2 linked regions of the Tribolium castaneum genome follow. The protein of the gene in region 2 purifies or fractionates together with the protein of the main gene of each other region. This does not show direct contact. Links are inferred from orthologs where the notes say so. Each region holds a gene or a part of one and is shown on either strand. Other genes may lie near its edges. The genes, in order: lin-52 and Myb.

Region 1 (3,185 bases), on a different chromosome or scaffold from region 2:
CCCTTTTTAATGTAAATGTTTGACACGAAAAGTTTATTTTTGCCCAATAGACATTTCAATAAATCACACTAAAGTTTATGTCGTTGACTCAAGGAAGATTTGTCTACCCTTAAACCTACTCAATAATAATTAATAACGCTCTAAAAGAGCAGAAACGGACACAAAATTCATAAAAGTAAAAATTTTTACATTTTCAAACTACAAACAGTAGCCAACGCAGAAACCATATGAAGGTAGGTGCATCTTATTTAACGCCAAGTAAAAAATATTTGATTTATGTGTTGTTTTTTTTTCATAAATAATTCCTTTATTTTCTAATAATCATTGTTTACCTCATCCTTAATTCCTTTTTTCCTGGCAAGAATGTTCTAAACCTTCTTCTGGTTCTTGCTGGACAAATGAGTTATTAATTTGACTAATTAGAGCAATCCTTAAATACGAGTTTTTTAACGCAATTTGCAAAATCGAGAAATTTTATAAAAATTAAAAAAATGTTAAGGTCCTAAGGAATGTTTGTCCGAACATGATTTTTTACAGTTGAAGGCCCTATTAGAGAGCTTAATCTCCTGCAAAAATAATTATCAATTTACATTCCACCGGATATTTTTAATCTAGGAAGCTGCTGGGTTCAGTAATAATAATAATAATAATAATAATAATAATGCATCACCTCATTATTGTTTTGGTGAGCTAACGGGGAACAAAATTTTAATTGTAGAAAATGAAGACACCTTTTACAAAACCAAATTTATTTTCGATTTTTATTATACAAACGAAACTTCAGCAGTGCAATATAATACATAAATCCTTTTGAAGCACTTGCTTAATAATACATTACAAAAATGATTTTCTCCAGGAAATTAACGTACAATCACTTCTTTAAACTTAAACTTATAATCCTATGTACAAATATATTTCCCCTGCTCTTTTTATAACTTCCACGTTATTTGGAACCTCTACTTAGGTAACAAATTGCAAATCATTTCTGCTTCTGCCTGGGCTTAAAAACATTTAAGTATTTCCCCCTTGTGACTTCTTTCGATTCCTCAACACCCAACTGATATGCAATATCATGCAACTCCTTGACTTTAGAAATCAGTCCAGCTGTTGGAAGAGCTGCTAATTCTACAAAAACCACACTCTTCTCTACAATCACACAAAAACTAATCCAAACTTACGGTGCAGATAATTCTGGTCATCCTGACTCAATTCCTTCGAGTAAGGCAGTTTTACGGCACTTGGTGGCGTGAAACTGTTTACAAAATCTGTCATTCCTGGATCTGAAACCCTATTATTGCCCTAATCCCACAAACATGTGCAACGCTACTTACACTTCTCTGGCCAAATTTCTGGAGAGGCTCTATCCAGATTTTCCATACTCATTAAGGTCTGCTCTAGATCGCTCAAAGATTGATCTTGCTCTAGGAAATGCAACAAATCAATTATATTTTGACAGATTGACATAAGCCACTCTGTTTAAAATGCGAACTTGTCCACGCACGCTAGCCGACAATTTCGCGTAAACTGTCCATGCAAGGCCTCAACAATCGTTTAATAATTAAATTGAGCCAAAAGTAACATTTACAGGGTGATTTTTTATTAAAAATGCTTTACCTTGTTCAATGCTCCCGGGTTTCTCGGACGCCATCTTGCAATTGTGCCAACTGCAGCAAACGTAATCAAAAGGCTGCGCTTTTAGGGGGACTTTGAAAGCGGCAAAGAAACACTATACAGAACGAGCAAAAGTCGCAAATGACCCTAATTGGGTGTCAACCCCGATTCACTTGCCCCCAATTTCGTAAAAGTTTGGTTTTTAAATTTGGCTGGTGTATTAAGTGTCGCAATGTTGGCGCTTCCCTCGCCAAGATTGTAAAATCAAATCGTAATTTAATTAGTAATAAGTAACAACGAATTTATTGTCAATAGTTTTTATTTGAAGAACGTGCCGCACATTTTTATTGTTTAGGACATAAAAAAGTTTTCGGCCTTGTGCACAGGCGATGACGCACTCAGCCGGCCGCGTCCCAGCTCGACATTCAAACGTCAAGTTTCTCTTTTTTCGAAGAGTTCTCTCCCGATTAACCTAAATATTGCGTTCCATATCTCGTGACACACAACAGCAAAAAGCGGTGTTAATTAGCGTACGCAAAATATGCGATTCGATTTAGCACAAGTATGCTAAATAAAACCCATCCAAAGAGCAGAGTTCAATTTTGAGTAAGTAGCGACGGTTTTTTCCCGCTTGCCTCGTGTTTTTGCGCTTTTTGCGGACTTATCGCCCTTTCAGGGGTACTATGGGTCAAACTTTGTCCGAACCGGTGACTGCCAAGAACACAGCATGCTGCCAAAACGCCAATTTCCAAGTGGGCTCAAGTTCGATGCAGGGCTGGCGCATCAACATGGAGGACTCCCATACGCACATCTTGTCCCTGCCGGACGACCCCGAGGCCGCGTTTTTCGCGGTCTACGACGGGCATGGGGGCTCCAAGATCTCGGAGTACGCGGGCAAGCACCTGCACAAGTTTATCACGAACCGGGAGGAGTACAAGAACGGCCAGATCGAGGAGGGGCTGAAGCAGGCCTTCTTGGAGATCGACCGGGTCATGCTGGAGGATGAGTCGTTGAGAAACGAGCAGTCGGGCTCCACAGCCGTCACTATTATTATCAAAAATGGCACGTTGTACTGCGCCAACGTGGGGGACTCTAGAGCTGTGGCGAGCATTGGGGGCAAGGCGGAGCCGCTTTCGAACGACCACAAGCCGAACAACAAGGAGGAGTACGACAGGATCGTAGCGGCGGGAGGGTTTGTTGATTACAACAGGGTTAACGGGAACTTGGCCCTTTCCAGGGCCCTCGGTGATTTTATTTTCAAAAGAAACGAGGATAAACCCCAGGAGGAACAAATCGTTACAGGTAAGTCTGGAAATTGCGAGCTAATCTTGTTTAAACACTGTCAATATTTATGTTAGTCTTTTATGAATTGTGTATATTTAGATCAAGTGAGTAATTGGGTACTTAGGTAAATAATTACATCAGTTGATGGATGGTCCCATTTGATTCAAAGGGTGTGTTATTTTTAAAGTTACGTTGTCAGCATATGTTACGAATTAAGTAATCTGGCGGTGTTCCACTTGTGTCATTCATTAATTAAAAATATTTACAATTGTTATTAATAGGCGACCACC
Region 2 (3,829 bases):
CGGAATAATGGATTAAGCTGTTACCCAATTATGGATAAAACTTCAACAATGTATTCCTGTAATATAAGACCGTTGTCGGCAAGCGCACATGGTGTACACAAACAAACACAAACAAGAAAACAAACACAGTAGAGGTGGATACAATTTATTATTGTTTGAAAATAAGATAAGCTCCGAATTAAACAAAATAATTTGTTAACTGAAGTTATTCAAGCTTTGGCGGAAAATTACCACTTAGTGCATAATGTAAGCAAATTAATGAACTGTGGGAAATTTATCGCATATTTATGATAACCCGTGCAGTCCATCTCACTGCAACTCAGTCGTAATCATTTCTATGGCTATTAAGAAGCCGATCGAGCGTACTAATTAAAGCCGCACCGGAGAAATACGTTTGGAAGGGCCACCGTTACGCACAAAATTCGGACCTGGTGTTTGCTAATTTTGGCTTGTTGACATTATTTTCCCCCGAGTCGAACGATGTCTTCGCCCCTTTTTTCTCGGTGCGCCCAAGCATGTCGAGATATCCAAGACAAAAGCGAAGAAACCCTTCTGTAGAATTTCTCGCTATACCGGTTCCCACCATGAACGGAAGAGGGGCAATGCCCTTTGTGTGTTACCTCTACACATTCATTGCACAAGACGTCTCGTAATAAGAAGAAAAGCAATTTTCTCTCAATAGCCGATGGAGATACGCTCATCAAAAGACAAAAAGGAAGTAACGCGTCATTAAAGAATTTTTTCCGGACGCTCGGAGAATGCCGATGAAGGCAGGCGTCCTTGGCTGTTAGTAAATCGGGTCACGCTCACCTCTTTGGTCCAGGGGCCCTTGACCAGTTCGGGATTCACCACTTTGGTCCAGCGCTGCTGGCATTGGACGTCCGACCTATCTGGGAAAAGCTCCGCAATCACATCCCATTTCTCGTTGTATTCCTCCACCAGCTGCTTCAAACGGGCGTCCTGTAATCAATTTGGACATTAACAAACTGGAATTTCCATCTATTATCTAGTCTGTCAACGGCGAGCTTGCTAAATAATAGCAAAGCGAGCTAATGAAACGATAATTAATTCAAAGCAGGTGTTCGATAAAGAACACCAGCTATATGTTAAACTATTTTCTCTTCCTTACCTCCTCTTTGCTCCACCGGCCCTTGTTTATGGGTTTCTTCGTTTTGGAATGTTGAGGTTCTTCGGTGAATGCTGAAGAGTCGGAATCCTCATTTCCAGAAATGTCGATTTCCGAATCTTCCTTTCGGTATCTGCAACAATAGAAATCTGCTTAGGGCGGGAACAAAGGGGGCGAATTTTTCCCACCAAAATTTGGGGGACTTTGCGTAACTTTAGAATGCAATGGGATCAAAGGTCAAGCCAGGTGTATGAAGGCAATCAACACTGCAGGGTGGCTTTTACAAAAAATATTCTTTTCCCAAAATCTAGCAATCAAAATAATCATTCGATGTCTGAAAATCTCCCCTTTCTACGATCAGCATACACAGGCTTCAACATGCAACCACCCCTCTGCACTTAGTCATAGCAATGACCAAGTTCGGGGTCGGCCTCACCCCATCATTGTGGGCCTTCCCCTCCGAAATTTTCCTATGGGAATGGCCTATTTTCTATTCAGCGTAAGAAGATTCACAATGCAAATAATCTTCCGAATATCTTTTACCTGGCAGGTCTCGATTAAACCAGACCCTTTGTGTGTTTGTGAGACCTCGTTTAATCAGCGGCAAAGTAAAATTCGCTCCTTCCGAAAACCAACCACCCTATGGCGGAAATGCGTGACAATGACAGGAAGCCTTCCTTTAAGTGCGTTCGTCAAGCATATCGCCACAGACCGGATGACCTAATATCGTTTTTATAATGAAGTTCGATCAATGAGATAATATTTCCTCCGAAGGGCAATTAAAATAATCACTTTTCGTTTTATGCGGATTGTTTATTGGCGCTGATGAAGCTACCACCATTTGGAACACGAGAGAAACCAGATACACTGCCATATGTTGTCGATTTATTTACACTCGATCTGACTTCACCAGACGCATACCGTGAGCATTAGCAGCGAATGCTCGACAATGGGAAATTTTTAGCGTCTAGTTGCGGAAAAAGCGTTCAACGGCTCCACTGCGCCCACGCTGGGAGGATTTGTTTACAGCCACCGCTACTCCATGGGAGAAAACGAAAAAATGTCACGAGTATCGTTCTAGTCCTGGTGCGATTTTAGGATCAATTTGAAAAGGATAAATAAAGATGAGATAGTGGATCCTTATCTTATTTACATTACACCCAGTGACAAATATGGATATTCATTGACTCTCTGTGCATGAATTTACTTCGTTAACAATGCTTTCAGAGTTTAGTATGCACATAAATTAGTACACTAATACTTGTACACTTTTCATGAAAATGTATTACCAATTAACGAGTTACGTCAGGTGTTCTTATAGACAATGAGCGCGTAAAAAAGACTTAAAATATTTTCAAATCCGTTGGATATATTATTACCGACAAGAGTAATAATAATAATAAGAAACAGGAACAGAAAAAATATACAAAAAAATGTTTTAATGGATTAGATTCGACATAGGCCCAAAATTTGGGGTTCCCCGTGTGCGGAAAAATATCTTTTGAACAGAACTCTTGGGAAAACAACTTCGGGATCAGACTTTATGGAACAATGTTGGAAGATCATATCGGATGCTGTTTTTCAAGACAAGACACGTTTATGTCCATATTTTCAAATTTGCATACTTTACAATGACCTCGCGGTCGGTGGCAAAATAAGGTGGATAAGCAAGGGTTTAAAGCCATAAAGATGCCGCTTTGTATTTTTCATGTACCTGGAAGAATTGTGTACATCACCAAAAATTAGTAGGTTAATTAGTGCAGTTTCGAAAGGTTTTATTGTAGTTTTATGTGCGCTTGGAATTATTCAAATTAAATTAGGCCATTTCCCGGTAAATTGTCGGGTTTAAAGCAGAAGTGTTGTTATTTAAATTTCTGTGAAACCGGATTATGGAATAATATTCTCGGTACGTCAACCACCATCCAATTGCCACTTTTCCTCGACCTTCACTCTGCAATTTGCTGCTTACTTTTCCCCGTCTCGAAGTCAATTACCACCGCAGTAGGTGGCAGCGCTACCAACTGTCGCCGAAACCGTCTTCTCCTGGATCAAAACGAAATTGAAGGTAGCACGTGTCTGCGACATATGTGCTTTTCTAGATGAATTGCACCTGTCTTCCGAGGGGATGTGGGCGAAAGGGTCCTTGCCTTACACTGGACATTGAACTGCACTACAGTTAGGCCGGAGTAATGAACCAGAGGATATAGGGGTAGAGGATAATGCACCTGATTGGCGAACGACCGATATTGCTTTAATTAGTGGACGGCTGCTGCGGCCTTTGTGTTTTTCGAGATACGACGACAATTAAAACGATTTACCCCTTCGAATGTACAATGTACCCCATCGTATTGGCAATATGCCGCGTTTTGACACGGGGGTGTTACGCAGCTGCCGCTCGTGTGTGTACAATAGCGATGCGTGGGGCTAGACCGCATCTGCGCTGGTGTTGCTATACCAAAAAGACCCAAAAGAATCGGGCACGTGACGATTATCAGAATGGATGTGGCGATAAGCGCCGCCGCCGACACCTGGGCCGCCGGATTTGGGTCAGGTTCACGTTTCCACACCAGAAAGATTAAACTGTTTGAAGAGGAAGCGACCACGACAACATGATGATTGAATGCTTAAACTTCTATTTCTTAAACTAACTGGTGCCGTTTTGGAATAATTTTGGCGCCACTTGAGGATAACTACAAAATGTAA

Evidence for each region.
Region 1: the proteins of Myb (region 2) and lin-52 purify together in Drosophila melanogaster (affinity purification with western blotting; 3 studies listed by BioGRID, with this or other methods). This does not show direct contact. The link is inferred for Tribolium castaneum from reciprocal best matches to the Drosophila melanogaster genes Myb and lin-52.

Annotation. Positions count from the first base shown.
Region 1 is NC_087402.1:6,135,622-6,138,806, forward strand, and holds lin-52 (protein lin-52 homolog), read right to left. Parts: upstream 1,763-3,185; 5' UTR 1,649-1,762; coding exon 1,615-1,648; intron 1,422-1,614; coding exon 1,332-1,421; intron 1,281-1,331; coding exon 1,179-1,280; intron 1,126-1,178; coding exon 980-1,125; 3' UTR 733-979; downstream 1-732. Other genes in the region: probable protein phosphatase 2C T23F11.1, read left to right, coding at 2,295-2,913.
Region 2 is NC_087396.1:14,741,362-14,745,190, reverse strand, and holds part of Myb (myb-related protein B), read right to left. Parts: intron 1,260-3,829; coding exon 1,130-1,259; intron 961-1,129; coding exon 811-960; intron 200-810; exon of another isoform or gene 1-199. UniProt on the Drosophila melanogaster protein: DNA-binding protein that specifically recognizes the sequence 5'-YAAC[GT]G-3'. Component of the DREAM complex, a multiprotein complex that can both act as a transcription activator or repressor depending on the context.